Linked DNA regions of Oreochromis niloticus. The main gene of each other region encodes a partner of the protein of the gene in region 4 in a complex. Links are inferred from orthologs where the notes say so. Each region holds a gene or a part of one and is shown on either strand. Other genes may lie near its edges. The genes, in order: gar1, wrap53, nhp2 and tert.

What was found.
Region 1: tert (region 4) and gar1 share a complex: the UniProt entries of both Homo sapiens proteins name them as parts of the telomerase holoenzyme complex. The link is inferred for Oreochromis niloticus from reciprocal best matches to the Homo sapiens genes TERT and GAR1.
Region 2: tert (region 4) and wrap53 share a complex: the UniProt entries of both Homo sapiens proteins name them as parts of the telomerase holoenzyme complex. The link is inferred for Oreochromis niloticus from reciprocal best matches to the Homo sapiens genes TERT and WRAP53.
Region 3: tert (region 4) and nhp2 share a complex: the UniProt entries of both Homo sapiens proteins name them as parts of the telomerase holoenzyme complex. The link is inferred for Oreochromis niloticus from reciprocal best matches to the Homo sapiens genes TERT and NHP2.

The regions. Positions count from the first base shown.
Region 1 is NC_031966.2:13,611,213-13,619,071, forward strand, and holds the start of gar1 (H/ACA ribonucleoprotein complex subunit 1), read left to right. Parts: upstream 1-4,478; 5' UTR 4,479-4,618; intron 4,619-4,918; 5' UTR 4,919-4,932; coding exon 4,933-5,137; intron 5,138-6,881; coding exon 6,882-7,036; intron 7,037-7,145; coding exon 7,146-7,205; intron 7,206-7,280; coding exon 7,281-7,407; intron 7,408-7,623; coding exon 7,624-7,734; intron 7,735-7,840; coding exon 7,841-7,851; 3' UTR 7,852-7,859. Other genes in the region: alcohol dehydrogenase class-3, read right to left, coding at 992-1,130, 1,832-1,964, 2,167-2,427, 3,159-3,378, 3,468-3,555, 3,656-3,806, 3,957-4,058, 4,271-4,288. UniProt on the Homo sapiens protein: Required for ribosome biogenesis and telomere maintenance. Part of the H/ACA small nucleolar ribonucleoprotein (H/ACA snoRNP) complex, which catalyzes pseudouridylation of rRNA.
Region 2 is NC_031967.2:8,406,548-8,414,912, reverse strand, and holds the start of wrap53 (telomerase Cajal body protein 1), read right to left. Parts: upstream 3,253-8,365; 5' UTR 3,019-3,252; intron 2,951-3,018; exon of another isoform or gene 2,771-2,950; intron 2,584-2,770; 5' UTR 2,407-2,583; coding exon 2,139-2,406; intron 2,041-2,138; coding exon 1,878-2,040; intron 94-1,877; coding exon 1-93. UniProt on the Homo sapiens protein: RNA chaperone that plays a key role in telomere maintenance and RNA localization to Cajal bodies. Specifically recognizes and binds the Cajal body box (CAB box) present in both small Cajal body RNAs (scaRNAs) and telomerase RNA template component (TERC).
Region 3 is NC_031975.2:32,975,895-32,983,572, reverse strand, and holds the start of nhp2 (H/ACA ribonucleoprotein complex subunit 2-like protein), read left to right. Parts: upstream 1-4,504; 5' UTR 4,505-4,646; coding exon 4,647-4,809; intron 4,810-5,429; coding exon 5,430-5,499; intron 5,500-5,597; coding exon 5,598-5,703; intron 5,704-7,362; coding exon 7,363-7,488; 3' UTR 7,489-7,678. Other genes in the region: cornifelin homolog B, read left to right, coding at 2,298-2,400, 3,151-3,305, 3,417-3,539. UniProt on the Homo sapiens protein: Required for ribosome biogenesis and telomere maintenance. Part of the H/ACA small nucleolar ribonucleoprotein (H/ACA snoRNP) complex, which catalyzes pseudouridylation of rRNA.
Region 4 is NC_031985.2:28,040,455-28,048,071, reverse strand, and holds the start of tert (telomerase reverse transcriptase), read left to right. Parts: upstream 1-4,052; 5' UTR 4,053-4,067; coding exon 4,068-4,370; intron 4,371-5,123; coding exon 5,124-6,390; intron 6,391-6,480; coding exon 6,481-6,670; intron 6,671-6,762; coding exon 6,763-6,916; intron 6,917-6,997; coding exon 6,998-7,165; intron 7,166-7,292; coding exon 7,293-7,454; intron 7,455-7,617. Other genes in the region: histone-binding protein RBBP4, read right to left, coding at 14-91, 279-405, 506-666, 1,684-1,799, 2,045-2,218, 2,312-2,457, 2,555-2,705, 3,304-3,319. UniProt on the Homo sapiens protein: Telomerase is a ribonucleoprotein enzyme essential for the replication of chromosome termini in most eukaryotes. Active in progenitor and cancer cells. Inactive, or very low activity, in normal somatic cells.

The DNA.
Region 1 (7,859 bases), on a different chromosome or scaffold from region 4:
AGCAGAGTCCTGCAGAGGATGGATTCGCCACTCCAGGAGATACTTTCCTCGCTGCATTGCGAGGGATAACATCTGTTGTGATGTAGATGAAAATATGTGGCCAGACAGACAGGAACGTCTGGATGTGCCAGAATGATTTACTGTACTGTTACATGTGCTGTTTATTGTTCACATTAGTGCACAGCTCTACCAAATGGGTGATTTTATGTTTACATGTATTCTACAGTGAACAAGTGACTGTAGCATATTTTTCTTTTGCACAATTCTGTAGGATTACAAACACTTCTACACAATGGAAATGTGAAACGTACGTATTCAGTGTCTCAGTTACTCCCAAGACTCCCATAACATCTACAGTGACTTCACTGCACATTTCAGATGGCTGTACAGGTAGGCCATAGTGCTGTCGTCAGCATTTTCAGGTGTCACCAATTGTTTTTGCAATGGGAAACACTGAAATTATAAACTGTCATAGTGGAAACATGACAATGCCATTTGACTATCTTGTTCATACAGATGGTGTCAAGACTTTTCATTTTGATGGCACTGGCAGTTTCATTGACATGGATACTTGCTTTTGCGGTATGGATAATCAATTCTGTGCATGTGACGTGCTTTTGCAGGCTATCCACTAGGTTTTGCAGTTTGCACTAATTGTTTTGGGAAATGCACTAACTGCTGTGCAAATGTTGATGGTGTTCTGAGAAACGCACCAAAGCGACTGAGAAAAACTGTAAGGTCACACTATACCAAATAGTATTTAAATTTTTATGTCCTGGGAAATAAGTTTCTGAAATTATTTCTAAAGATCAATCAAACTGAATCTAGTGATTTGTTTAATCAAACAGAACATGTTAGACAGAAGTTAAAGATTTGAAAATACTTTTCTTACATATAAACAATTTTGTCCCTAAATAGCAATTCAGTCCTGATATTTATGGCTAAGTAGACTTTTCTGTTGTTGTTTATGTACACATATGAAAGGTCTCACCTTTTACCACTTTTTAAAAGGTCAAAGGCCTTATTGATTTGAACCAGCGGGAGCTTCTCCGTAATAAACTCATCCAGTTTCAACTTGTGATTCATGTAGTCATCCACCAGTTTAGGCACATCCTTCACACTCTTCCACCCTTTAGAAAAAGTTAACAAGCTCAACTTGTAAACATGTTTTCATGTAATATGAATTGCACTGTTGTAAGACCGTCCTGTGGTCACATTCACAGCCAATTCGCTGCACATCAGATGTGAGTTTGATGTGCTCATAGTACATGAAACATATGTAAATTTATTGTTACAAATTGTAAAAGTGATTATATAGTTTATGTAGGATATACCTAACTGTCTGTCCTCACTGAACTTCTTATATACGTTTTGAACTCAGGAACCAAAAACTGTTGGTTATTTTGACAGAAATTTAGATGATTCATCGATTGTTTAATTTATTAACTGAGCACAACTCAAGACTTTTTACGTATTCTCATTTTTCTGTGGGTTATTAAATCGTACTTCAATAATATTTAGGTTCAGGAATGTTGATCAGAGAAAACAAGCAATGATTGTTTTGAATGCTTTACCTAAAAAAAATTAATAAAATAAAATTATATTACAACCAAAGCAGTTGTAATATAATTTTTAACACATTTTAACTATTAATAATCCAATAGCAAAGTTTTTTACCCCAACATGACATTACATTTTGCCCTGGCGGACAACATTAGGGACAGTTTTTCAGGATGATACACTCAATTTTATGTTCATCACTCAAATCTACATTTACACCAGAAATGCAATTAAATAATCTAATATGTATGGTAATTTTTGTTTACTTCACCTCCAAAATAAGTGCCCTTTAAGGTACGTCCCATGAGAAGCTTTTCAACTGAAATGCTCATTGTTTCTGTCTCTGTCCATCCAGCAATGACACAAGTACCCCAGGCATCTCTTGTGGACTCAAGTGCAGCATTCTATGGTGACAGAAGCAGTTGCTTAACTAATTATCATTTTGTATTTGTATCATTATCTAACTCTTTCACTTGTGTCACTTTTTGCAAAAGAGATCAAATCTAGGTTAACAAAGAAGACATTGTACAGTGTACTCTAATTATAGTCACAAGACTTAATTTGCATTGACACAATTGCATGCCAAATTTCAAATGAGGCACCCACCATGATAGCTGGACTTCCAACACACTCCAGCGCATAGTCCACACCTCCACCCGTCATCTCCACCACAACCTCTTGGATAGGCTTGCTGTAATCTCTTGGGTTTATACAGTCTGTCGCTCCAAACTGTCGGGCTTTCTCAAACTTGTCAGGGTTGATGTCAACCCCGATGATCCTTCTCGCAATGGCAACCTTGCAACCCATGACGGCAGCCAGCCCAACAGCTCCAAGCCCAAAAACGGCACACGAGGAATCTTTTTCAACCTGAATGCACAAAAGTTGGAAGCCAGTCAGCTAATAGTTCTTAAAGATCATTTCAGCGTTTTCACAGATAATTTTTACAGCAAATATAACATTTAGAGTACATTCCTTTAAACACATACATGAGATATTATCAGGTCTGTGAATCTTGATTAAAACTATGTCTAAATAAATAACCCATGCAAGGATTTCCACGCATTTTTAGTTGGTTTCTTTTTAGTAATGGAGTACAAAAGTGTCCTGATTTTGTCATTTTATTTATGTTAATGTGTGTGGACCTACTTTTGGCTGCTCCCTTATTCACAACGGGTCACCTCAGTGACTTTGGCGATTTTTAAAGCAGATTCCTTTCCACATGCAGCCAACACAGGAACATGTATTTCACATGTTATACAAATGTGTAAACCATTGCACTATGGAACTATTTTACATTATTTGAATTTGTGTAAAGTAGTTGACATGTACACCTTATCCAGAAAACTTAGTGGCACTCGTGTCATTTCTGCCCTCTAGTGTTGATATTAAATGACTACAGTCTTGCAGCATATTGTAAACATAAAAAAGCAAAAAACTTCCAGATACAAATATCACTATTTTTTCTTTTTTTTTTTGGTTAAAATATCCTTGGCTGTTTATATATTGTCATGTTCATCAATATATCTTTTGAAATTTGTTGCTTCGTCACATCTGTTCTAAGAGTATTAGTTTGAACCTTTCGAATTCAGTTTTCTAACCTTGCCTGCATTAATAGCAGCTCCATAACCAGTGGAGACACCACATCCAAGCAGACAGACTTTGTCTAGCGGTGCATCGCTTCTTATCTTTGCAACCGAAGTGTCAGGGACCACAGTGTATTGAGAGAAAGAACTGACTCCAAGGAACTGGTAAACCTGCTGTCCCTTGCAAGATATCCTGCTAGTCCCATCAGCCAAAACTCCAGCTTGCATATTTGTCCTAAAAGACACATAGAACAGTATTTACGTGAACACATTTTAAGTAATAGAGTAAACGTGGTTGTCTCAAAAATGGGGAAATAAAATCACCAGTTTTTCTTGCAATGATTTGTTTTTGGACTTAGACAGCGTTCACATTCCCCACAGTATGGCAGAAAAAGAGGAATAACTTTGTCTCCTGCGAAAACAACGAAACAATTATGTAAGTCTGAGAAGAAAAAAAAAAGAGAAATAAGATTCATAACAAATGTCATCTGACTGGTTGTGGTACACTTTACCCGGGGAGACTCTAGTGACTTCTGGACCAATGCTCTCCACTATGCCAGCTGCCTCGTGACCAAGTACTAAAGGGAATGGTCTGAATTTCATCCCTTTTCCAGTCTCAAACAGGTATTCCCAGTCTGTGTGGCACACACCCGTGGCAACAACCTGTACAAACCAAATGATGTGCCAAATGATGTGACAGTTTCAGGAAGTGGAAGTAGTCTGTGGTTAACAGTCACACTAACAGGAAATAAAATAATCATATGTAAATCATACTTATTGTTGTATTGCTGACAAATTTGAGCTGTGCCCAACCTTAATTCGGACTTCATGAGCTTTAGGTGGTGCCACCTCCACTTCTTCAATACAAAGAGGCTTCCCGGGCTCCCACGCAACAGCTGCCTTGCATGTGATCACCTAAAGGGGAAAAAAACCCAAACCAAAACAAATATGTTTCCAAAGATGAGTGACTGTGTTTGGGCGCAGTTACAGATGCAAACAAACAATGAACACTCTCCATGACAGAAAACTTTAGAATGAAAAGCAGAACCCCCAAAAGCAACAGTAGCTGTTTATAAGACAAACAGTAAAAAAGAAAAAAAAAAGCTTAAAAACAACTTTTTTCTTACCTTTCCATCTGTTGCCATTGTTGGCAGATGATGTCTTCATATAAAACAGCCTGTATTTGAACAAAAAATTTAAATAAAGGAATAATTAAATCTGCACTTGTCACCAAAACAGCTTCGAGTTACATTATATCAACATTTGAGTGGGTAAAGTTGAACTGACCGAGTCAAACAGCAGACAGGTTGCGCCCTCTTCTAATTCTAGTTTTTCTTCAATGGTTTAGCTCTGTCAGCGCATTTACGACACTTTCCGAGACCGCCCCTTGCCTTTACGGCACGTTATGGTCACACGTGTTGTAGTCGCATGGAAGTTGGCACAGCGGTCTGAAGTCTAGGCAGTCGGTCAAATTTGTGAGTAATTGTCTTTATCTGTGCAAAATCCGAGTTGCGCACTTTTTCGGTGTGTATATTTTTTCAACGACTACGTATCGTGTTGGTTTATGTTAGAAAACTCCGATGGATTTTCGTACTTTTAATAACTGAGTTGTGCTAACGTAAGCTAACCACTTCAGCTAGCATAAGCAATAGCTTCCAAGTCAGCATAGTTTGCCCGAATCATGGGCAGGCTAATTCATTCATAAGTGTTTAGCTTCAAGCATGAACTCACGTGAGCTGTGTCGTCTTTGTGTTTTTATAATTTCTTATTTACAGTGCATTTGAGGAGAATGTCTTTCAGAGGAGGAGGACGAGGTGGTGGAAGAGGTGGAGGTTTCAACCGAGGTGGTGGAGGATTTGGACGAGGTGGAGGAGGATTCGGTGGAGGCAGAGGTGGTGGAGGATTTGGACGGGGTGGTGGAGGATTTGGACGGGGTGGTGGAAGAGGGGGTTTTAACAGACAGCAAGATTATGGACCTCCTGAGTATGTTGTTGGTAAGCCCAGAGCTCACAAAACGCTAAACCGAGTGTTTCTTTATACACATGTGAAGCTAACCTTTTACCACAGCTTCGCGTGAATTCTCAGACAATGAGATGCAAGCAAACCGTCTTGATATTGCCAAAAAACTGACTCTGTAATATTACCATTACACAGTTATGGGGAAGTGGTGTGGCTGAGTAGGTAGGCTGTGACAATTTTGTCCTCATCAAAGATGGAGACTATCCCAAGGATATGGAAAACAAGACCTGTGTCCTGTTGCTCTTCTTGGTGCATTGTACTGTAAAGTCACCACGAACTAGTCTGTGCAGTCACAAAAAAACAAACAAACAAACAACAAAAAAGAAAGGCAGGCATGCAGATGTCCACACACACCATCTTGCCTGAATCTATGTAAAGGCCATGTAACCTATGTAAGATGACATTATCGTGCCAGCATTTACCATGTTAATTACTTTTGTGGTAGAGTCCTGGCAGTTTACATGTGGTGCCAGTCACGATAGAAACAAACAAAATACCAGAAAGTTTTTTTCCCCTTCTGGCTTGCCACTCTTTGCTTTGTCATTTTTATATTTGTTCCTCTAGTATTTCCACATCTTTGTACATTTCCCTAGTGTCCATTCCAATAGTTTTGACAATCTCCTTCTAGGAATTTGCTGCCATTTGTGAGTCCGTATTATGGTTTTTATTCCTTTAACAGATCCTTATATTATTATTCTGTCATTGATAAATTCTAGCACTGCATCAAAAAAGTAGCCAGAAATGCATAGGCGAAATCAACGGTATTCAACAGGCCAATCATGGTAGTAGTGGCAGTGTTGATGTGACATGTAATTATATTTCTATGTAGGTGCATATCAGTTTATCAGGGTAGGTTACATTATAGGGTTTCTCAGCGTCTGCTATGTACACTATTGCCCACTGAAGCATAAATTTCCAGTCAGTGTTAGCAGGCAACTCTAAAACAACGGTGGACCTTTGGGTGTGTGTGAATGGAGAACTTCAGTAAATATTCTATGTGACAAGAGTATGAAGTTAATACACCGTGTGTCACCTACATGAGGAATTCAAGATCCAGTTCATGTTAATTAACTTTAACTACATGTTTCCAAGTTGTCCTAAATACACCAGAAAACAATTATATTTCAAAGATGTTAAATAATATTAGTAATAGTATTATTAATATAATAGTAGTGGTGGTGGTGGTGGTGGTAGTAGTAGTAGTAAGAATAGTAATAATAAAATGAGCAATATGTAAGTGTTTAAATTCAAACTGCATTACAGACAAAAGATCAATCTTTTATATATTTAATGATCATCCCACAAAATGTGAATATAACATGCTGTACCAGGAGTTAGGTTGCCATCTAATATATTTTAAGTCCACATTGTAATATTGTTAAAGATGTATCTGTGTTTCTACTCATTGGGCTGTTCAGAAACAGATTTTTTTTCCAACTTATTTGATCTTTTTGTTTTTATATGTTTATATTCTAGTGCCTCAAAGTTTCTGTTTTAGCATATATTCTGGGTCACTTCCTTTAACCCCCATTTATTCCCCTGGCCTCCAAAGAATTTCAGACGTACAGAAACCTTGTGCTAGATGCCCATAAAGTGAACTGCAGAGCAGTCAAGCATATGCTGACTTATTATAACCAGACAGAAATTTAAATTGGTTGTCAGTCATGGTATTGCACGTCTTAAACTTTAACTGTTTCATTGTCTTCACACCCTTCACAGCACTGGGAGAGTTCATGCATCCATGTGAAGATGACATTGTCTGCAAGTGCACAACAGAGGAAAACAAGGTTCCCTATTTCAATGCCCCAGTGTACTTGGAAAACAAGGAGCAGATTGGGAAGGTGGATGAGATATTTGGCCAACTCAGAGACTTTGTATCCTTTCTATTGTCTTTGTTTTTCTCCAAACCTTTGATTGAACTGGTGGTGGGGATCTGTTTGACATTGTCAGTGTTCTTGTTGCTTCCTTAACCCATCTTTGCAGTATTTCTCAGTAAAACTTTCTGAAAATATGAAGGCGTCTTCATTCAAGAAACTACAAAAGGTACCAAAAATGTCTCAAAGTTTTCTAGTGATTAATTTAATACCTCAGATTTCTAACCAAAATGTTGGCTTTTAGTTTTATATAGATCCAATGAAGCTACTACCACTGCAGAGATTCCTCCCGAGGCCACCAGGAGAAAAGGGGCCTCCAAGAGGAGGCAGAGGAGGGGGTAGAGGTGGAGGAAGGGGTGGTGGTCGTGGAGGTAAGATGGCATTCTCATTTTAATTTAATCTTCTGGCTAAGTGTTTAGAATAGATAACAAAACAGACATTTGTGTTTTTGTTTTTCTCTAGGAATTATGCTCAGTTTTTGCTCAGTATTTACTTTTGTAGATTGAACATGGAAATAAAGCCTAATGCATATTTAGAGTATGGCATGCAAGAGTAGTTTGATTAATTTTACTTTCTTTTTGTCTCAGGTGGTTTTCGAGGAGGCAGAGGTGGAGGAGGAGGCAGAGGTGGAGGAGGAGGCCGTGGTGGAGGAGGCTTCAGAGGAAGAGGAGGTGGCGGTGGTGGACGTGGATTCAGAGGTTGGCAGGTTTTCTATCGTCTTACAATGTTATGGTTATTTCCCCTGGTGTGTAACATGGTTTGTTTATAATATCTGAACTTCGTTGTTCTTTTGTTTTCTTATAGGTGGGAGATGATCTGACTC
Region 2 (8,365 bases), on a different chromosome or scaffold from region 4:
TTGCAGCCTTTCAGGTAGTTCTCCGGCAGGTTGGAGTACTCGGTCCAGGAACCAGTCAGCATTTGAGGGTTCTGGGTAAAATCTAAGCTGAGCCTGGAGACAGAGAGACAAGGACGTCCTTGGTCAAAGAGGGGCTCCCAACAAGCTCACTAAAAGCTATATCTCACATTTATTAACAGATGAGCACTTAAAGGTTTATAATTGAAGACCATTTAAAAGCTCATTGCTATTTTAGGCACACATCATCCAATGAAGTCCCCAGCCTCAGACAAACATGCTCTGTATATAAAACACAGTGGAAACTTCCAAGTAATAAGCTGCTTCATTTACACACAGTGCCACTACAGCTGATTGTTAATTAGATTCCTATTAGTTGACTACATTATTTTTCATCCTGGGTCATTTTCTCCAAATTTTAGCATAATGATGACTGACAGTCTCAAAATGATGAATCAGTTAATGCTCTGGTGCTTTTAGCTGCCCCACTTAAACATGAGTGTCAATTAAAAAAAGCACTTATCAACATCTAACAACACATCATTACACACGACACTCTCACTGTCACTGATAAACTTAAAGCTTCAAACACATGTTGACTGCATTGATTAGACTGTTAATCGTTTTAGAACTTCCCATCGGTACATGGCGTCTATCCACTCAACCAAGTTCTGCACTGCTTATATAGTTGAGGGCTGGAGCCTATCATGGCTCACATAGGACTAGAGGTTACAACCAAGACAGGTTGTGCTTCCACCACAGAGAGACTGAAACTCGTTCATGCACAGAGTCTCACCTTATTTAGAATGACCGATTAACCCCACATGCATGCCTCTGGAGTATGGGAGGACCATACCTGACACATGCAATACATCCTGTCACCTTAAATTCTTGTTTGATGTTTTATGCAAAGGATTTTGGTGACTAGGCAGATAATTTTAATGTAGTTACTAGGCAACATGATGTTGTTATAATGTCCAATACAGATAAGAACCTTCAGAGGCCCAAGATATAAGTTTGGTTACTCAGCTCCGGGTCACCTAGAAGGAGTTGGGGGACAAACAAACACCTAGTCGGAGATTTCATGTATCACAGTATGACCCTATGTTTTTCATAGCATGAAGAAAAAACAGTGTTAAACAAACACTGTTCTAAATGCTCCGTTTCAGAGAGGTTCTTCTACTCTTGCGACTTGTATGACAGGGAATACCACTGTTGTGGTCATTTCAGGGACGCAGCTCTGGCTGTGAGTACAGAAGCCCCGCCCACCTGTTGTTCACAAAGACAGCTATTGTGAAGCTACCTGCTGGTTTTTGAAGTCCTGCACTGAAGCCACAAGATGAGCGTTTCCACTGTCGCCATCTTGGGTGCAAAAGGCCAGATGAGATTGTGTCTAGACCGTGAAACTGCACACTCACTGGTTGATTCTTTTGATTGAAAAGTCATTAGCCAATGGTCTAAAGAGCTTAGAAAGAAAAGCGTCTGGACTTCTTTAAGTTGCTTGAAGACTTTTCACCTCTCATCCGAGAAGCTTCTTCAGTTCTAGGGTCAAATGGTGGAGAGTCCCAGATTTAAGCCCTGTGGGAGTATCCCCCCGAGAGGGACAAAAGGACCCCCTGTTGATCCTCTACCTAATGGCATGAGCCAAGGTGTGAAAATGATTAGGTAGAGGATCAACAGGGGGTCCTTTTGTCCCTCTCGGGGGACACTCCCACAGGGCTTAAATCTGGGACTCGCCACCATTTGACCCTAGAACTGAAGAAGCTTCTCGGATCTCTTCTAGCAGTTTCTGCAATTTTATGAATGCACATCTTGTATGTCAACTCTGCCTAAATATCGCAAACTTGCTCTACATTTAAACCTTTTTTTCTTCCACGTACTGTTGTCCGTCACCGGGGCTTTCTGCAGATCCATCATCGTTGTGTTCCTCCTCTGGTTTTGGCCCTTCTTCTCCATTTTGATGGTATTCTCCTTCTTCCCCGACGACTACTACCCCTTTCCCACTGTGACCTCCCTCCTCACACTGCAGCAGGTCTCCTGCTCCTGGCAACAGAAGCCAGATTAAACACAGGTCAACTGTAATCTTAATCTATATTAATATATGCATATTAGCTTGAATTAAAACAGAAACAATCCTGTACCTTCTGCTCTTTGGGCTGGCCTTCCCTGCAACGAGCTAGGCTGTGTTGGTGTTTCTTCATGCCTCTGAACAGGCTCCACAACCTGATCCTGCCCCACATCCTCCTCAATCATCCTCAGCCTCTTGGCAGATGGCGAAGCCCCTTCCTTTGAGATCTCCCCTGCACCTCCAGGCAGTAAAGGTGGAGGCTGTTGAGGGGGTTCATTATCTGCTTCGGAGTCCTGCCCTGCACCACCTCCACTTTCACCACCTCCCGCAGAGTCTGACATCTTTGTTTACCTCCCCCTCTCTCTCCCGTGAAGCCCTCCACCCAGCTTTCAAGCGCCCGGTGTCCAGCGGTCGGCTGTCAGACGTGGGTGAGGTAGGTGCTACTGGGGTAGTGCTTCCTCCTGCAGTGTGGATGTTTGAGTCTGTTGGGGTACGAGGACATCACAGCACCCACCAGCCTAGGAAACAGTGAGTAGAGAAAACATGAAGACGAGAAAAGCGAGACCAACAATGAGCCCGTCAAAACAACGGAAGAGCATGAGAGCACGTTCACGAAAACCAGGAAAAAACCGTTAAGTCAGACTGACGATAAAGTGAACGTGCAGCTGCTGTGAGAGGAGCACGTCACTGCCTCACAGCACACACCTGTGGCTAGTCGTGACTGCCAGCTGCCTCACCAAACTAGCATTCACGTCTATTTGGTCAAGTTAAAGCTTGAGTGGTACATATTACTTCCTACACGCCCGGTTGCTATTATGCATAGTGAATGATTCTGGCAAATAAATCAATTAGCGAAATTTGCTTTAGCTTCTTATTGAGCGTCCCTTCACATCGGAGCGCACACTTTAGCCCAAGTTAGCATTAGCCTACGTTAGCAATCTGATGCTATATACCTGTGTTGTGGCTTGCCTGGCCTTTAGTTGTGTTCGCGGTTTGGCCGAAAAGCAAAAACCGCGGAATCAGAGTTTCACCAAAAGCCGGAGAAAAGGACCGAACACACAAAACTAATCGACGTCTTTCTGCTTCGGGACTTTGTTTCCCTTCACCATCTCATTACGAGTTGTAAACACTGCGGGCGGCCATGTGCTTCAAACTATCGCGAGAGTTCATTGGACGAGACGCGCTCAGTGAGTGGTGAATCTCTTATGTGCGGATAGGCGTGATTCATAACAAGATGTCTTCTCGGCTTTTTACTCAAACTTCATAGATAACTAAAGAACACACACAGAGTCGGTCACAGCTAAATGCTATTTATTTAGTATTTATTTTGTTCTTCAAACAAAAGCAAAACTATTTACACTTCTTTTCAGTTCTTTTCCAAAACATTTTCATAACATGTATGCTGTTATTTTACCAACATTCAAAGACGTATTTAAGTGAAAGAGCTGGGCTGACTGGGGTATAACCATGAGTCCATCATTACAGTCGGTATTACAGTAACCAGCAAAACTGAACCAGGTAATCTTTACATCTATACTTTCTATCCTGAAGCAGGCGGGTCAAGCTGCTCATCAACCAGGGTCTTTAGAAACAATACTGTGGTTTCTCTGATCATAAAAGCTTTTGTAGTGCAGTAAAATAGACTGATGATTCATCCATCACAGTATCAGCTTTTTAAAAAATGTGATAACATTTTAAGAAATAATAATTCAATATCAATTCAACAGTTATGATATACGATGACGATGCCAACTGTGGCTATTTCACTTACCTATAGAAGAAAACTGCACAGCACACCCACAGTTGATCAGAAACGTTTAACAAGTCTAAACTGACGGTATTCAATAAACATCAGTTTCCATTTGGATAAAAAACTGCATATGTTTGGTTATAAAGAAGGAAAAAACAAAAGCTACAGAATGACTAAAAACACGAATCTCTTAAATTCAATGAGACAGAGTAAAGACGCGGTCCGAGAAGACCTTTCAGATTTCAGACACACCACAGCCCGGTTGCTTCTGTATCGATTCAGTGCCATCACTGATGGTCAGCAGCACTACTAGATACAGATTTTAGTGTCAAACCCACAAATATTACCAACAATCATACATGCTTGTTCTTACAAGCACTCCTATTAGACAAGTGTGAATCACTATGTCAAAACTGTAAAAAGATCCAACTCCTAAAACATTTTATTCCCCTGGAGTGTAAAGAAAACAAATCAATTTGAGGACGACCTGCCATTCTGGTTCAGTTTTGCCGAGGACTGTATCCAACGACAGATACGACACAGCAACAAGCGCGTGCTCTGAGATGAACCTCTGCATATTACCCAGTAAGCCCAGCTCCAGGCAGCACAGACTTCAGCCCTTTGTCAAGCCTGCACCTTCAGCAGTAATCTAAATAGGAAATCTCAACGAATCCACACTTTATTTGAATCAAAATGAAAAAAAAAAAGGGCAACAAAAATCCAACCACCAGTAAAATTAGATCAACCAAAAAGCCCTCATTGCTCTATTCTTTAGTTAACTAGTATCTTTTAAGTAGATCACATTTACACTTTTATACAGGACAAGTCTGTCAGCGAACAGACGTCTTGTTAAAACCTTCTTTAGAGTACAGTTAACGAGGTGGTTTCCAACTTAAACTGAGAATGTTTTCAGTAAGCCATTTCAGACTGAACTATACAATTTAAGGCATGTTGAACAGAGAAATAAAGCAAAAGCCATTATGGAGAAAACTCAAAAACACAAACTTTTACATTATTTACAAAGCTCAGCGTTTATGCTGCTGGGCGTTGATGCTTGTGTGTCTTTGTGTTGTTTGATATTGTGTATCTCTGGTGTGTGTATGCATGTGTGTAGACATTGTTCCAGAGGAGAGCCAATGTAACTTTAGCTGTGAGTGTGCATGTAGTGTGTCTGCCTGCTCCTTTGGACTTGAGAATTTGTGAGACATATGATAGTTTTGTGTTTTGTTTTCAAAAGTCCTTTTTTTCCTTGTACAATTCTTTCAGTTCATCCAGTTCCACAGCTGCAGCCTTTTGCGATGGCTGAGATGTAATCCGGCCATGTCCACCAAAACTCGTCCCAGCACACTGTCTCTGACATCTGGGCAGGAGAGCGGCTTGTCGGTCCTAATGGCTAGAAGACCTTTAAGACCACCATCCGAGAGTTTTCCGGCTGGGGTAGATGATGAACTTCTGGGCAACGCAAGCCTTTGTATCCTCTTCTTAGATGGAGTGTGAGATTAAATCCTTAACCAAACACTTCCAGCAAAAAGGGGATGAAGAGCTGATAAACCTGTAACTTCATCTGTCCAACGTATAATGCCATTGGCCTGCCCAGACTGAGGTCAAAAAAAGTTTCTTAGGGTCTAAGTTCAAAGGGACAGGTTTAGGGTTCACTGGTTCATGGGCTGGCTGTAGAGAAGATCCTCCTTGCAGAGGGCAGCAAATAAAGCACAGCCAGACTCCTGTGAAAACACAGAAAGAGCGCAAGATATCATCAGCAAAACTTGGACACAGGCATTAACAGAGGACAGGACTGTATATAAATGATGGAAGTGGCAACTGTTATTCATTGCCTGCAAAAGTTCTGTTGTGAAGCCTTGAGCTGAATATTTCCACTGTGATGTTTTTGTGATGAACAAGGGTCAGCACTTATTGAGACATCAGAGCAGACTCACAGGCTACCCCACTTTTTCAGGCTAACCGGCACCAAAATTTGTTAAATGAACATTAAGTTTCAGCAAGACTGGAAATGCCCACGAGACCACAAAGTCTTTCACCAGGAAGGACTTATAAAGTCACACTAAAGCTTAATTTTATCTTGTAGCCTTCCAAACGCCCTCTGCTGGACGTTAGCGAGAATGCGAGTTACGGCAACACTACACTGGCTTACCTTTTTATTCTGGCTGCTACATCCAGTTTTATTACAGCCTTACAATGATCATCTACCACAATTTTAAATTTGCCATGGTAAATTATCAGTTAATTTAACAAATCCATGAAGGTGCGGAAAGCAACCTGTAACTTTACGAAAGCTTCACTGACCAATAATTTTTGTCATTGTTTGTCAGCAACCTTTTTACTGCTGATGGAAACAAGACAATAACTAAATGAAAATGTTATTGTCTTTCATCAGCAAATAACAAGATTAAGATATTCTGGAGAGACTAGATCCAATCAGAACCAATTCATTAAATTAAGTAATCTCCTCGTGCAGTAAGGTTAGACGCACAAATTTGATCTGCCCCGGGAAACAGTACGTTTTCTTTATTTTTTTTGAGGTGGCGGGAAACGACAACTAACTCCCATCCTTGTTTTGTCATGAAAAAGCAACAATGTTGAGGCTTGAGAGGAAGAGAAGACACGTGTCAAGGAAAATAAGAGGTTTTGCAAAAACATGTGGAGCGCCGCTCACCAGTAAAAACACGACGATTTTAGATTTACTATAGTCTTATATTTAGTCAACTAAAATAATTTAAGCACCTAAATTATGACTAAAATTAAAAGTTTTGGTCAATAGACTAAATTTGCTGTGAAAATTAACACTGTACAAAAGCATTAAACAAAAACAAAAAGGATAAAAACAAAATTCTGGAAGAACATCTTACCAATGCCAAGCACTTGTCCTCCGGTGGTCACTCTGCAGCTCTTGAGGCTGTCATCAGTGTCCATCTCTTTACTGTGCGTGTTGATCAAACACTCTTGGTGGGCTCTTTGTAGCCACTGCAACATCCATTTTGATAAGTAGCTATCAGTCAGTCTTGGAGCCACTGCAGCATGGCCACCACCTCAGTCCATGTGGTTTTACGTTCCTTCCCCGATTACTTCAGGGCTACTGGCAAACTAAACTCTCAGCGAGTCCCATCTCAAACTAGATTTTTTTTTAAAAAAAGATTGGTTTTCTTGAAGAACATTCACTCCATATAATCAATGAATTTTCCTTCATCCATTTTGCATTTTTTTCTTTCTACTCTGAAAGGTAATACAAAAATATGGTTATGTACAGGAGGTGGGAGAAGACGAGCTTCTCGAGTCTCTTATTTCAGTTTGGGAATTTCTTTTTCAGTGACTTTGTCAAAGTCGTAGCAATCCTCCTGTTGTAATTGTGCTCCCATCCCCAAAATTGTACCTCACAGCTTGAATGAACAAAAGTGCATAGGTGAGTCGGTGAGGGCAGGGTGCGAGTGCTTTCGAGGGCCGAGGTGAAGACGAGGGCACCGAACGGGTGCGCTCACATCGTCCTCTCAAGTTCCCCCTCCAGGGTTCTGCAGCCCTGCACTCGGTTCTCCACAAAACACAGCCCCATCCTTGATTTTTCTGCCTCCGCTCCACAGCTGATCAAGTCTCAGGACCCACGACACAGATCCAGTTAGAGGATCCTGTCCATGTTGTTGTGATGCCTGCCACTCTTCCTCAAAAACAACGAAACAAAATAAACAAAAACAAAAACACCACCACACCACTCAATGTCCTTATGGCAGAAGCGCACTTGCAAACCCCACCCGTCTCATGTGGGAACAAAAAAAAGATAAAACAAAAGAATAAAACTGCACCCACAGATATCCATGTGGCTTGTAAACAACCAAAGCTCCAGTATGGAATAGAAAGAGTCCTTTCTTTAGTCACCATTTGTACGACCAGGATTGTAGAGGCAGTGTGTTCAACTGTATCCATCTCGAGTTTTTTCTCTCTCCTCCACTGTGTAAATGAAAAAAGAAAAAAAAAAAAGACCCCGCTCAACTCTTTGAAGCTTTTTTCGGTTTTGTTTCCATTTTTGAAATCTTCTGAGGAACAAAAACAAAATCTTGTATCAGCACGGGTTTCTTGTCATTTTTTTTTTTGGAATACATTCAATATTTTCTTAAGAAAAGAAAAATAATACACACTTCACATGGCAAAAAATGAAAAAAAAAAAATTAAGGAAAAGAAAATTAAAAACACACAACAAAAATAGCAGCCCCAAGTGCTCATCTTAGTCCAAATACTTTTTAAACTTTGTATATAATGTATATATTTATATATATTTTTCATTTAAAAAAGAAAACTCGTCATTATCAAATTGCAACAACGAATATGTAACACAATATGCTAACATTTCATGCACCGTTCTGTGCACTCGCACATTAAGATGCTGTATTTTTTAATTGTTTTTTTGTGGTTTTTTGTATTTCAGAGTCAGAAACTCGACACCTTTCATTCACAAGTTCGAGAGCTGACAAAAGGCAACGTGATCACACCCCCCAGGAAAAACACGCTGGACTAAGCCTTCCGATGGATCACCCCTAGACTCA
Region 3 (7,678 bases), on a different chromosome or scaffold from region 4:
ACACTAGGATCATACTATTATGTCAAATATGGAAGGGGGGGACAGATCCAAAGACAGCGAGTGTAGAGCTGCAGGCCTGGAGGACAAAAGAATTGAAACTGTTGTCCGGGTGTGTTCTCCATAGTAAAAGCATTCAAACAAAGCTTTTAATAAAACTTTTTCCCAAAACATTCAGAATTGATAAATGATGCTAAAATAGAGTCTTGGACTGAAGAGCCATCGGACATCATGAGTTGTGTTAGCAGTGCTGCTGCTTCTGTCCTGGAGCACTCTCCATTTTACCATCGCGCTCCTTTTGAGCAATGACATAAAAGTCACGTGCACAGCTGTGTGGCTGCACTGCTGCTCTGCTGTCCGTCCTGCAGTAATGAAATGCATTACTTTACTGCATTACTGAGAATGTGATTATAGTAACGTAGTGAGTGATGATAACACGTTACACTCAGCACTGACTAATGCAACAGTTTATGTTAAACTGCATTACAAATGTCTCAACCAGTTTAACTAAATAATCAAACTTGTTTTTAACACATTTTAAATGAACGAGATGAGACCTCTCCACAGATTTATGTATTAAATCTAAAAGTATGCAGGTGAGTCAGCAGGCCCCGCCCACCTGAACTCGTTCATCAGGTTTATCCGAAACCTTCATCTCTCCAATCAGAGCGACCACATCAGTCACACAGGTAAGATGATCACACTCTGCTTTTATATCATCTCATTATTGTTCAGGTTTCAGTCGCAGCAGCTGGGTTTGTTGGTTTGTGTGTGTGTTGGCTGGTTTGTGGGTCTGCTGCTCTTTGCTTCTTTGATGGTTTGAAACAGTTAATCTAACATTCCTGTCACGTTGCCTCACATGAATGTTGTTGTTATACCTTTAAATTGTTCCCTGAGCAGCTGGTGGAACTCCACACCAAACTCCATGCAAATATTGTCTTATTTTACCCATGTCTGTGTACATCCACTGATCCCAGTCTTGGCTTGGTGATGATGACTGTAGAGCGTGTGATGAAATATTTGGTATTTTCATTTATCCTCACTGCGTCCACAGGATACAAACGGGGGGGATTCTCTGTAGTTCTCACTCTGGGTCAGCACACCTGAATCACATGATTCGTTCATTACCAGGCCTCTGGAGAACTTCAGGACATGTTGAGGAGATAATTTAGTCATTTAAATCAGCTGTGGTGGATCAAGGACACTCGAGTCCTGGTGTAGACGGTGATGAGAACTCAGTTACACCTCAAGCTTCATGTTTTCTCAAAACTCAGCAGCAACATTTGGATTTGATAAGACTTTAATGTTGTTTGTGTGAATTGTGTACATAGTTTAACGTAACCTCATATTTCCTGTTTGTAAAATATCAAAGTAAAAGCTTGAACTCGTGATAGCTGCGTGATCATTTCAAAATAACAGGAAGTGGACCTGACTCTTTGGACCGTGGAGGTTTGTTTCTACTGTACATCTTCTCTCCTCTGTGGCTGCGTCGCGCTGTTAGTGCCGACTTTCTCGGATGTTTCTTGTTGTTGTTTCTCCCGTTGCTCACGCGGCTCTCTGCATTCCTGTAACAGTGCAGTTTGTAGATAAAGTCTCAGTGCTGGTTTCTGTGGGACTTTATCAGTGCGTCACATCTCTGTGAACGAGTTTTGGTCCACTCTTCTTTACAGCTGCAGGTCATTGAGGGTCGCAGCATCCATGCACAGCTCTCTGAGCTCTGATCTTTGGTTCAGGTGCAGCTTTGCAAACCTAAGTCAAGCTGGCGTGCTCTTTCACCTGGCAGCTCTTCCAACCACGCCATACTTTTCCATCCATTCATTTCCTGCCACCTGTGTCCGGATCGTGGCAGCAGCTGTCTAAGCCCAGGCTTCCCTCGCTCACACCAGCCAGGAGCTGTGATCCCGGCTCTGTCCTGGGGCCTCCGTCAGTACGACGTGCTTCAAACGCCCAGCAGGAGCCCAAACCTCCTCGACTGGCTCCTCTCGATGTGGAGCAGCGGTTCAGGTTGGAGCTCCTCACCCTCACCCTAACTCTAGGAGAGGATTCGATCTTTTTCTCATGTCCTGTCATGAACTTTGAACTTTGACCTTTACCCTGCTAACTCAGGGAGGCAGTGACCCATGTGAATAACTTGTACTAATGCACACTTGTGATGATTATGGAATCTGTTAATAAATGACCTTTATAACTTTCACTAACTGGAATCTTCACTGAGCTGTCTGCTGCAAACAGCTGATCACTAACGACCGGGTGCCACAGGTGTGACTGAGTCCAGGTGTTTGTGTGTCGTCAGGTGAACAATGAGCCAGCCGGTGATGACGCAGCCTCAGCAGCTCTTTGTTTCCTCGCTGGAAGCTGATTGGGCTTCAGGGATCTGCGACTGCTGCGATGACAAGAAGCAATGTAGAGTAACACACACGCTTCATCCAATCAGAGCGGACTTTACTGATCCCACACCGACACTCGGGACCAGACTAACAGCTGGACACGAGCATGCAGCTGACGCTTTAACAGCTCATAAGAATTATTATAAGAATCTAATTGAACATAGACAAACAGACTTGTTCTTTAATTTATCAGTTTTCACAGAGACAACATCAGCTGTCATCTGTTTTCCTTTGATTTTAAATAAGTTTATTGTTTTAAATACATCAGAAAATAAAGAGCGCTGAGGTCACATGTTCATTCATTCAGACTGAATCTGTTTAAACCTAAAAATGTCCCACAGCTGCTAAGGCTCTGCACCAAACTCCATTCAAAAAGCATCAAATTATCATCAGTGTGTGTGACGTGAATCCATCCAAAGACTAACACATCAGCTGATGTTGGCTTGGTTTTACTCACATCTTTAAAAAACAAACACATCGTCTGAACCTAAGTAGTGACTGCAAGTGTAAACAATACGTTTATTTGTTAAACAGAAGAAAACAAAATCATATTTTATGATTGAACTTTTTTTTAATCAATTATAAAGAAATTAATTCATTCCTGTTGTGTAATATTAAACATTTAACTGAAGTGATGCTGTTTTTATTTTTGTTATTTATAGTTTGCAATTTGTTGCTTTTTTTTTCAGTTTTTTGTGTTACTTTGTTTCATGTTGTTATTCAGTTTGTTTTTGACGTTGTGTTTGTCGTCTGCTGTCGTTCCCAGGCTGCTTTGCCTTCTGGTGCTGTCCCTGCTTCGCCTGTCGAACCACCAAACAGTTCGGTCAGTGTCTCTGTCTCCCCCTGCTGGACGTGTTCGGCTGCGTCCATCCCATCACGATGTCCATCAGGGTGTCGTTGCGTCAGCGCTACGGCATCAAAGTACGACCACGAGGTGGCGCTGAGACGCTCGTTTGGTTTGAGTTAGCAGCCGCTAAGCTAACGTTAGCCAGTGTGGCTCACTTTGTTTGTTCGTTCGTTTGTTTGTTTCAGGGGAATCTCTGTACCGACTGTTTGTGCTCCACCTTCTGTCTGCCCTGCGTTTGGTGTCAAATGGCCACCGAGATGAAGAAGCAGAAGCTCCCCACCATGTTCAGTGACATCATCAGCCAGTGATGATGTCATCAGCATGAAGTCATTGCCCCAGACCGGCCCGTCACAGCCCAGCTCCGCACCAGCAGAAATCAATAATCAATGATCATCAGTGTTTACTGCATTTATCACTTATTTGTTTTTAACAAATCTGTTGTTTTGTTCTGTTGTTCATCTGTTTACTCGATTTAAATGGTTGTTAGCTTAAATTCATTAAAATTAAATTCATGCTTGTGACTGAGCTTAAAGATGAATCGAGACTGTGGAGAGAAGCTCAGCTCAGATCTGATATTTAATCAATGCACAAATATTCAGTTCGTGTGAGCTTTGGAAGGTGATTTCAGGATTCAGAATTTACATGAAATCATTTAAATGATTTTACACAATTCAAGTTTGGCTTCTAGCCAAATTCATTACTGACAAAATAAAAACCTTTAACTTTAAAAAATGGAAATTGTATTTAACCTTTTTTTTAATTTCTTCCAGATCAAATGTAATTAAATAAATACTCTGAATAATGTGTCTGTGTATGTGGAATCAAAAGCATTCATTACTTTTCATTTAGCAGTTTTTCATTTTATTGTCGTGTCACTTTGCAATAAAACCTGATCATTAAGTTTATAAGGAAATATTAATAACGAACTCTCTTCAGATCATTCTGATGAGCAATAATTAATTTTAGTGCGCGTTTGTTTGTTAGCTTCATGTAATGAAAGAAAACTGTCGAGTGTCCACACAGTGAAGCTGGTTTTTAGGTTTTAGGGGGAAATTATTTCCTTCTTGCCGAATCCAAAACTTTCCACTTAAACTTTCACTTTTTTAAATGTTATTATTTATCTCTTTATAAACATAGATATAGATATATATTTACGCTGAATATTTCTGAAGTGTCAGTAAAATTCTGACTAAACCTAAAAAATGAAGTTTGGTATTTTATTTTGAAGGGAGGTGCTGCCGCTGCCCTCCGGGCCGCTGGTGGCGCTGTTGTGGTTCAGCGTTTTCACAAACAGCAGAGAAAGAGGCTTGAAACACGTGTGGGGTCTTTTCTGTGAGCGTGTTGTGATCAGCAGGCAGGAGTCCGAGCAGAAAACAATCAAACGGGTATCGATTACCAGTGATTATCGATCAAAAATGACGAAGGTGAAGAAGGAGAAAGTTTCGGAGGAGGGAGAAGAAGCCGGTACCGGGGGCACCGAGAGGTCGTACCAGGAGCTGATCGCTCACCTGAACCCGATCGCTCAGCCGCTGGCCTCCAAAAAGCTCAGCAAGAAGCTCTACAAATGCGTGAAAAAAGGTGAGAAGAAGAAGAATCCCGCTAACGGCCGGGAAATGTTGGAGATTACTGTTCTGTGGCGCCGAACTCTGTTTAAAAATTCACGAATTTAACGATTTCTTTCTGCTCTGCAGTTGTTAGAGTCGATGCAGGACTTTAAATAAGAAAGTGTTCGAGTCGTTTGAAGCCTCTGGTTAATTCGGCCGTAAACACGTCGCTTATAGATGCACAGTTTGTAATCTATTGGTAATTTTCTGTGGAAAATCAGCGGCTGTTTGTACAGCTTCATCCTCAGTGAAAGGTTCAGTCAGACCCGCTTCCGGTTTCACTGGGCGTTTTAAAAGGCAGCTGCATGTGCTTTTATTTTGATGCTTAGCAGAAGTGTTTTTAGTATGTGAGGAAATCTCCTTCACAGTTTGGTTTGGGAGGGAACTTTTGTTGTCGGGAATCATGTGAACGATGTGTTCACACTGCAGATGTTAAAGCTTTAAACATCCAGATGTGCTCCTCCTGACTTTAAATGCAGTTTGCAGCTGGTCTGGGCTTGAAGAAGGCGCAGAGCCTTCATGTTGCACTTGAGCTTAAAACTGCAGGTTTTTGACTGGAGTCTGGTTTAATGTGTCTCTGCTTCTATCATCCAGCCGCCAAAGTGAAGAACATCCGACGAGGAGTCAAAGAAGTTCAGAAGTTCATCAACAAAGGAGAGAAAGGGTGAGTCGCTGCTGCTGCACCTTTCAGCACGTCCTCGGGTGTGTCCAGGTGTTCGTGACGATCACAGGTGTATTTATGTGTTTCTGATGTGTCTGCAGCATCGTGGTGCTGGCGGGCGACACGCTGCCCATCGACGTCTACTGCCACCTGCCCGTCATGTGTGAGGACAGAAGCCTGCCGTACGCCTACATCCCGTCTAAAGTGGTGAGTGACAGTGGACAGGTGTGCTGAAGGTCTGTCACCTGATGGGGGCGGGCTCTGAACGCGTTGCTCTGTGAAAGTTGGATGGGCGTGGCTGAAACTCAGTCTGTGCTTGCAGAGCGCCGCTCACACAGCATGTGTGTGCACTGCTCGCTGCACTCTCCTCAGCGCAGCAGGAAAACGTTACTGCGCGCACAAACAGTCGACACCAGTGTGTCTCAGAGCGCTGTGTGTGCCACGCCCTCTGTAACAGCAGCTTAGCAAAAGTTGATTCTGTTCATCTGGATGTTTTCAGTGGGAGAAAGGTTTCATCATCATCAGGTGACTTCTTCAGTCTCAGCTGACTGCAGGTTTCCCCAATCTTATAAACAGTACATTTGCATAATGACTGAAACCAGCCCACTGAAGGAACAATGTGCTGGGAGGTCAGTTCCTTCATCATAATTATGCAAATTCTCATGACCACTGATCAGCGGCCATGAGCACCACTGAAAACGCTACGTCCAGAATCAACTTTTGCAGATTTACTTACCTGGATGATTGAGCGTGCATCGAGACGTTTTCAGTAGAAAAGCTTTCTTGCATGCAGATCAAACCACCAACCTTCTGATTAGTCGATGACCTGCTGAGCTTCAGCCAATCAACTAACGAACGTCTGATCATGTGAGACGTGAGCACGCGTCAGCTTCAGACTCTTATTTTCAAATCTTTTGTGATTTCCTGACTTTTAGTGTTGGGATAATTTCTCTTATTTTGAAAAGTCTGTGTGCTTCCAATTCAGTTTTATTTATACAGCAACAAATCACAACAACAGGCTTTTCAGGGAGTTTTTAGGACATCCTGATAATAATGAATTACAGTAGTCCAGCCTGGAAGTAATAAATGCATGAACTAGTTTTTCAGCATCACTCTGAGACAGGATATTTCTAATTTTAGAGATGTTGCGCAAATGGAAGAAAGCAGTCTTACATATTTGTTTAATATGTGCGTTGAAGGACATGTCGATGGGCGATCGTGGCTCAAGAGTTGGGAGTTCGCCTTGTAATCGGAAGGTTGCCGGTTCGAGCCCCGGCTGGGACAGTCTCGGTCGTTGTGTCCTTGGGCAAGACACTTCACCTGTTGTCTGCTGGTGGTGGTCAGAGGGCCCGGTGGCGCCAGTGTCCGGCAGCCTCGCCTCTGTCAGTGCGCCCCAGGGTGGCTGTGGCTACAATGTAGCTGCCATCACCAGTGTGTGAATGGGTGGATGACTGGATGTGTAAAGCGCTTTGGGGTCCTTAGGGACTAGTAAAAGCACTATACAAATACAGGCCATTTACCATTTTACCATTTACCATGTCCTGGTCAAAAATGACTCCAAGGTTCCTCACAGTGTTACTGGAGGCCAAGGTAATGCCATCCAGAGTAAGAATCTGCTTAGATACCATATTTCTAAGATTTTCAGGGCCGAGTACAATAACCTCAGTTTGATCTGAATTAAGAAGCAGAAAGTTAGCGGCCATCCAGGTCTTTATGTCTTTAAGACATTCCTGCAGTTTAACTAATTGGTGTGTGTTACCTGGCTTCATGGATAGATAGAGCTGCGAGTCATCTGCATAGCAGTGAAAGTTCTGACTTTAAAATCTTTTTTTATTTCCTGACTCTTATTGTGAAACTCTGTTCCAGGACCTGGGTTCCTCTGCGGGCTCGAAGAGGCCGACCTGCGTCATCCTCATCAAACCTCATGAAGATTACCAGGAAGCGTATGACGAGTGCTTGGAGGAAGTTTCCAGCCTGCCCAAACCCCTCTGAAGCCCCCACCCCTTCATAAGCCCCACCCCCAAAGGAACAGTTCTTCCTCCAGCTGTGCTAACAGTTTCCATCCACTGCCAGTGTTTGTGCTAAGCTAGGCTAATCCAGCAGGAGGATTTAAATCCAGACCAAACAGACTTCAGATAAAGAACGATGTTGATGTTTGAGTGAAAAATGTTTAGTATAATCG
Region 4 (7,617 bases):
AGAAACATCTTACCTGAAAGATCTCATCTTTGTGTGACTCAAAGGAATGCAGCTTTAGCTTCAGGTTTCTCAAGTCCCAAAGAGCCACGGTCTGTGGGCGGCACAGATGTATATTACAACATGCCTGCAACATTTTCTGATCTCTGCAACAACACTGCAGTTACAAAACTAACAATACCATCAGGATTATTTAGTGAACAGTTACCAAATGCACTCAGTTAAAAGTCCTGCTGTTAATAAAGCAGTACCAATTAAGAAGTGGTGGAATATTGTATCACCTTGTCTGCTGAGCCGGTGGCAACGATGAACTCGCTGTAAGGGTTAAATGACAGACAGTTGACCTCTGCTGTGTGGGCCTCCACTGCATGGCTGGCGTTGGAGGTATTGTTTGAACGAGTGTCCCAGCTTAAAGGACAAGACACAGGGTGACGCTCATCCTTTTGCTGCATTTGAAAAAACTGTAAGTGTGCTTCATCTGCGCGTGGTATTTGACCGAGAGTCTTACATCATAAGCTTCTGGTCGTCTGCTACAGATCCAAAGAGCGACTCGTGAAGCAGATGCCAAGAGACATCTTCAACCACAGCACTGTGACCGGTGAAGACCGTCTTTGCATTTACTATCCTGCTCTCTTTGGGAACAGCACTGATGTCCCACAGACAGATGGTCTAAGTAACAAAAACCACATAAACACATCAAACCTCATGTTTGCACTTCAGTTTGGTAAAAACGTGGTAAAAGTGGAAAATGATTGTTAACAGCAGGTTTTTGGCAGTGCACATTTTTTCATACCTTCCTGACATTTCATTGAGGTCAGTTTATGACACCATTTGTGTGGAAAAAACACTTAGAAGTCACTGTAGCTATGAATGTAAAGCAGGGGTCTCAAACTCCAGTCCTGGAGGGCCGGTGTCCCTATTGCAAACACACCTGAATAAAATTAGTAGGTAATTAGCCAGAATATAAAACTCACCTGCATGCTAAAGTGGCAACCCCTAACCCCTACTCAAGTAAATTTACGTAAATGTAAGTGTTTGGAAAAATGTACTTCTAAAAGTACTTTTATTGCACCACGTTCATTCGCTCATAAGCTGCTGTAACATGAATCAAATGGCTGAATTGCCACCTCAGCATGCAGTCTAAAAGTTCTCTAGTGTCTTGCTAATGACTTACTAATTGCATTCAGGTGTGTTGCAACAGGGACACATGGAAAAGTTGCAGGACACCGGCCCTCGAGGACTGGAGTTTGAGACCCCTGATGTAAAGGATCAGCTGAGTAAATGATTTAATTCACCAGCTGGCACCAGAAATGCTAGTTCAATCACCTAACTGTAGAAATAATGCTATGTGATAACTACAGTAATAGAAACTGCAAATGAACAAAACAGAGCAGTTTAATATTTAAATTAAGAGCATTTCCACGTGCACGTCACACAGACAACTTGAGGGATTGGAACCAAACAGTGAATGCAAACGGTCATGAAGGCTAAAGTCGGCCCACCAAAATATCAGTGTGTGTGACTTTTTGGCAAAGCAGTCTACTTTTATTTATGGTACTGGAAATACAGTGATTGAAACTATTATGACATAAATATGTAAAACAGCCCTAGTTGGAAATATCTGCTGCTAAAAATGAAAAACAGAAAGCGCCATTTCTTCTTAAAACAAGAACTACTTCCTCTTACGTGATCATCTGACGCACTAAGAAGAGCTCCTGACAGATTTGAATTCCAGGATAGACCATAGCCTTCTTTCTGATGGCCTCTGAGACGCAGATCAGGGCGACACTCTCCTGAAGTATCTAAAGACAACATAATAAAATCAACTGTCAATTCAGAGACACTGGAAGAGAGGTGTGGTTTTAAAAGAACTGAACAGACAAGTTTGTTTTTGAGTAGCGACTCTGTGCGCCCAGTATTTATGTTTTGGTGAAGTTGTATAATTGTTTTAATACCAGTAAGCTACCAATTACAATGCACTTTTTCATAACGTACTCAAGAACATGCCATCTTCAGCAGTGTGTTGTGCTTTGTGTGACTGTTGCACCTGGCTTTGAGGGATGCTTGGTGTAATCAAACACCAGCACATCTGAGGTGGGGGTCTTAGTGGCAATGATGCAGGGGTTCTGGGGCATATAGCGGGCACGGTTCACTTCTCCTTCGTGATTGATCTTGATTTCAATCTCAATCTTGCCGTTTACTGAGCCAAAGCCTCCAAACTCTTCAGGGAAATATAGAGAAATATGTTTGCAGGCTATAAGTATATAAAATATGAAGTAAATGCATTATACATTCTCTTTATCAATATACCAACCTCCTTTTTCACTGTCGTAGTGTGAGGCGTCAAACTGGGCATCATCATTGGGCAGCTGCACGCTAGCAATAACCAGGTGATTCTGCTCATCAGAAGTGTGAGTGCCCAAAACGAGCCTGTGTACGCTGTAATCCTTCCCCTCGGGCCTGGTAGGGAGAAAAAAAAAAAAGGTTTTTAATGCATTAATGCCAATTTCTTGCATGTTTGAGATATATTACCGGCCAAATGTGTAAACGCTTCCACCTTGAGACGTCAGGTAACCACTGAACAGTCAGGCTGGGCCACTCTAAGGCATGGGTCATAACCAGGTCGTAAAGAAAGGGGGTGTTTTTCTTCCAGATCTTGTACTCTTCATTGATGACCCTCTCCTCCACCGCATCATCAAAAGCACCAGCTGAGGACAAAATTGTCACAGAACCAGCGATGATAATTGGACACACAGTAATACTGTACTTTTTATTTAGTTACAAACACCCATCAGATATGTCCATAGCTTTCACTAACTCAAGCTGTTAGTTTAATATTAAATGTTGATGTTACTAGATTTATTTCTGTTACAGTTAATCAACAACAACCTTTAAAAGTTGGTCTTTACAGTCGACAAATTTCGCTATCAAATGATTTGACTGTTAACCTGACAAGGCCTCGGTATTTATCAGTGTTATGAGAAACTTCTCATTGTTCCCGCACCTTGCTACAGCGTTAGCATAACCATAAGATGTGAACTCATTTCTTCACCTCTGCCCGGTATTCACACACAAATCATTACCCCAACTTTTCAGAGACGGTGCCCAAACAATAACTGAGCTTTGACATCAGTAAAGTTCACCTTCACACTCTTAAATTATCCCCGCTTGTGTTGACTGTTATAGAGTAAAACACAAGAGCTACGGGCAGCTTGCCCTAGCTGCCACCTAAGCTAACCGGGCAACTAGCTGAGGGGCGTCAAACAGAATCGTTTCTTTTTGCTGACAACTAAAATACTCACTTACCTTCCTTGTCTGCCATTATGTTTCTCCCACGTAGCTGACAGAAAACTGAGAGCTGAGGTGTGGTTAAGGTGTACAGCCCCTTGAGCCTCGTCCAAGCTGGTTCTCCGGTGTGCCTGCAAACCCCCGGTACCGTTTAAACCACCGGAGGTACAACGGCACGCTAAGAACTAGCTAACCGAGCAGCCGACTGTGAGAGACGTGGGTGCATTCGCGCGCTCGGTACAAAGAGGGGCGTCTTCCCACCAATTACGGCGCAGCACCTGTGCGCGTGGCTATCGCAGACTCCGGTGCAGCTGCAAGTAATTTCGATGGCTAATGTATTGTTATCCTTAGTAAAATATACTGTTACAAACTGGAATTTATGAAGGTAAACACCACCCGTGTGGTTATTGTGTTTCTTGGGGGATTTGTCTGGACTTTAGCAGATGCACATCAGGTAGAGCACTATCGTTGTTGTTCTTCTGAAAGCTGCTGTTTGCGTTTTTTTAATTAAAATGTAATTTTAAGGTCACAGAAATATGTCGCTTTAACCGCCTGTGGTGCGCATATAATGCGCGTGACAGAATGAATGATCTCTGGTGAGCAGTTCTCATTTTAATGTATTGGTTCAAATCGCACGTGATACTGTCACTTTTTCACTACACTCGTGCCAAAAGACAACAAGCCTTTACCTGTTTGTCATTGGTCAACAGTAAATTTCCCCCCTTTAGTATGAGGACTTTTGATTGGCCAGCTCCAATAAAGCGCTTTCCCATAGGCTAAGCATGACGCGGGCCCTTAAAAGGTCAAACATAGCTAAATCCCAGTGTAAAGTAGCTAACCTCCGTCCAAGTGCTCCGAACACAGTCGGTATGTCTGCGACTGATATGTCCGGTGTGCTGGATATCCTTCGGTTACTGTACCGGCACACGCAGACACTGGAGGAGTTTTCGGACAGCATCGTGTTCAGAGAAGGACAGAAAGCAGCTCTCATTGAGCAGACAGATACAAACCGATTCAAATCTTTCGTTAGGAGTGTTTTTGTGTGCTTTGACAAGGAGCTACAGCAGGTAGCGAGCTGTAAACAGGTAACGTTTCGCCGGATTGAAAAATATACATGTACATTTCCCAGGTTAGTCCTGAGGAGTTGATACGCAGCCCTCTGTGGACGTTTGAAGCGGTGTAGCTAACTCTGCCTGCCATGCTGTTATAATGTTAAAGCCAGGAAACCATGTTACACTCCTATATTTTGAATATATATATATATATATATATATATGTATATTGAAACTAAGCTGGGAGAAAACTATGCGCTGCTGGAGGATATTTAAGCTTCAGCAAGGTCTTCTTTTTTCTTCTGGGGCACTTCCCCCCCCATTTCTCCTTTATTAGACATGTTTAAATGTATCCAGTTATAATGACAGATAGTTAATATCAGCCGATATATTCGTCCGGCTCTACACGGGGACACGGGGTGGGCCCCACAATAATATTGTAAAAGGGTTTTCACTGTGCTAAGTTATACGTGGAATATTTCATTTCAGGATCTTTCGAGTGCCATGACTCTTTGATTTAATGGCTCTGGTTTTAGTTAGTAAAGAAAATGGTAACTTTGAATCAATTTTAATCACATAGAAGAATAAAGAACTCAGAGTATTGTTTTGTAGCAGTCTCCGGGCTAATATAGCATAGAGTTATATTATATTGAAATGAGACTTGTGGTATAGATGCACACATCAGTAAGCTGACAGGTTTATAAGAGAGTCTGAAGTTTTGCCTTTGTCAGGGTTTAACAGCTTAATGGGAGATGGCTTCTTCTTATATATTCATACTTTCCACAGATCTGCAGTCTGCCTGAACTACTGGCGTTTGTTCTCAACACTCTAAAAAGAAAAAGAAAAAGGAATGTCTTGGCACATGGCTATAACTTTCAGACCCTGGCTCAGGAGGATCGGGATGCAGACTTCCTCAAATTCCAAGGCGACGTAACACAGAGTGCTGCCTACATCCACGGCAGTGACCTGTGGAAAAAAGTCACAATGCGTCTGGGCACAGACATCACGCAATATCTTCTGGAGAGCTGCTCTGTGTTTGTGGCAGTTCCTCCTTCGTGTGTTTTCCAGGTGTGCGGCCCTCCAGTCTATGACAGGGTGTCCATGACCATGGCCTCGAGTGGGTTTTTTCTCCAGCCTGGAGTCAGGAAACATAATCGTACCAAGATTGAGAGCTGTCGAGGGTCAGTGAGTTTGAAACAGAAACGCACAGTTGTGAATCCTGCTGCAAGCAAGAAGATGAAAAGAAGGAATAAAGGAGGGAAAAAAGGGAAAAGAAAACGGGAAACTGGTGAAGAGGAGGAGGTGGCGGTTTGTTCAAGAAAGAGGCGGCGAGTAGCGTCTATAGAACATCAACAGGCGATCCAACCAGTTGGCTCTGAAAAGGAAGGACAGGTTGTGCCTGTGGAATCAGCACCGCCTGCAGCTTTCAAACAGCCTGTTGAAATGCCAACATTGGAGGGCGGTCCTAGTTGGAGATCAGGGATTTTCCCCCCTTTACCACCCTCGCAATGTTTTATCCGCACCCTGGGATTCCTGTATGGGGGCAGGGGCATGCGTGGCTTTCTTCTTAACAGGAGGAAGAAGACTGCTCATGGATCCAGAAGGCTTCAAGGACAAGATCTGGTAAGAATAGTCTTCTTCGAGGGACTAGCGTATTTGAATGGAGTAGAGAGGAAGCCTAAAAAACTCCCCCAGAGGTTCTTTGGCATGGTCCCCCTGTTTAGGCAGCTCTTACAACAACACAGGAGCTGTTCCTACACCAAAATACTACAGAGGTTATGTCCATCAATAGAGGAGAGCAATGCAGGACAGGGAGAACTAAACTCACTCTTACCTCAGCACTGTGCACCGCACAGGGTTTACCTGTTTGTCCGGGAATGCCTCTCTTCTGTGATCCCGCAAGAACTGTGGGGCTCTGATCAAAACCGGCTGCATTTCTTTGCCAGGGTCAGGACTTTCTTGCGAAGTGGCAAGTTTGAGAGGCTCTCACTGGCTGAACTGATGTGGAAGATAAAGGTGAATGACTGTGATTGGTTGAAGAGGAGTAAAACAGGTGAGGTTATCATCAATGATCTTTTTTTTTTTTTTCTTTTTGATTGCTTCGTGTTTCATGCCTGACCGAACCAACGTAACTCGTCTGCAGGCTGTTTTCCACCCAGCGAGCTTGCGTATCGGACACAGGTCCTGGGTCAGTTCTTGGCTTGGCTTCTGGATGGATATGTTACAGGCCTTGTGAGAGCCTGTTTCTATGCAACAGAGAGTATTGGGCAAAAAAACGCCATCAGGTTCTACAGGCAGGAAGTCTGGGCCAAACTGCAAGACTTGGCCTTCAGGTACACTCACACAACATTACTACAGTAGCCAGCATACATACAGACATGAGGCATACGTCCAAAAAAGGGAACAAAATTTGCTTTTCATGTAGAGGTCACCTTTCCAAAGGCCAGATGGAAGAGCTGACTCCAGCTCAGGTGGCATCCCTGCCCAAAGGCACCGTCATCTCCCGCCTTCGCTTTATTCCCAAGACTGATGGCATGAGGCCCATCACACGAGTCATAGGAGCAGATGCCAAAACAAGGGTACGCACCGACAATTACCTCAGACTTGTCTGTTATTACATGCTGTGGGCTGGATTTTCAACTTTTTTTTCCTCCCTACAGCTCTACCGAGGCCGTGTCAGGGACTTGCTGGATATGCTGCGGGCCTGTGTGCGTGCCACTCCATCACTGCTGGGGTCCACAGTGTGGGGGATGACTGACATCCACAAGGTTTTGTGCTCTTTGGCACCAGCGCAGAAGGAAAAACCACAACCCCTCTATTTTGTTAAGGTGAATTTAATTGTTTGGCAGAGAGCTTTCTATTTATTTTAAGGATAATACAGCTGTAAATTTCTGCACAATAATATGGACATACTGTACAGGTAATATATAATTTAGCTTTTCCTCTTCGTTTAAGGTGGACGTGAGTGGAGCCTATGAGAGTTTGCCGCATGACAAACTCATAGAGGTGATTGGCCAAGCCCTGTCACCTGTCCACGATGAACTCTTTACCATCCGCCGCTATGCCAAGATCTGGGCGGACTCCCACGAAGGCCTGAAAAAGGCCTTTGTCAGACAGGTAGCCATCTGATCCACAAACATGCTTATCTGAGGGCATACATAGTATTAATTAGTCCAAAAATGACATTTATGGATGTTTATGCTTTACCTCAACTAGTTTTAGGTCTTAGATCAATCCTCAAATAACTTTGTTAAGCTACATTTGAGAATCTGTGAAAACC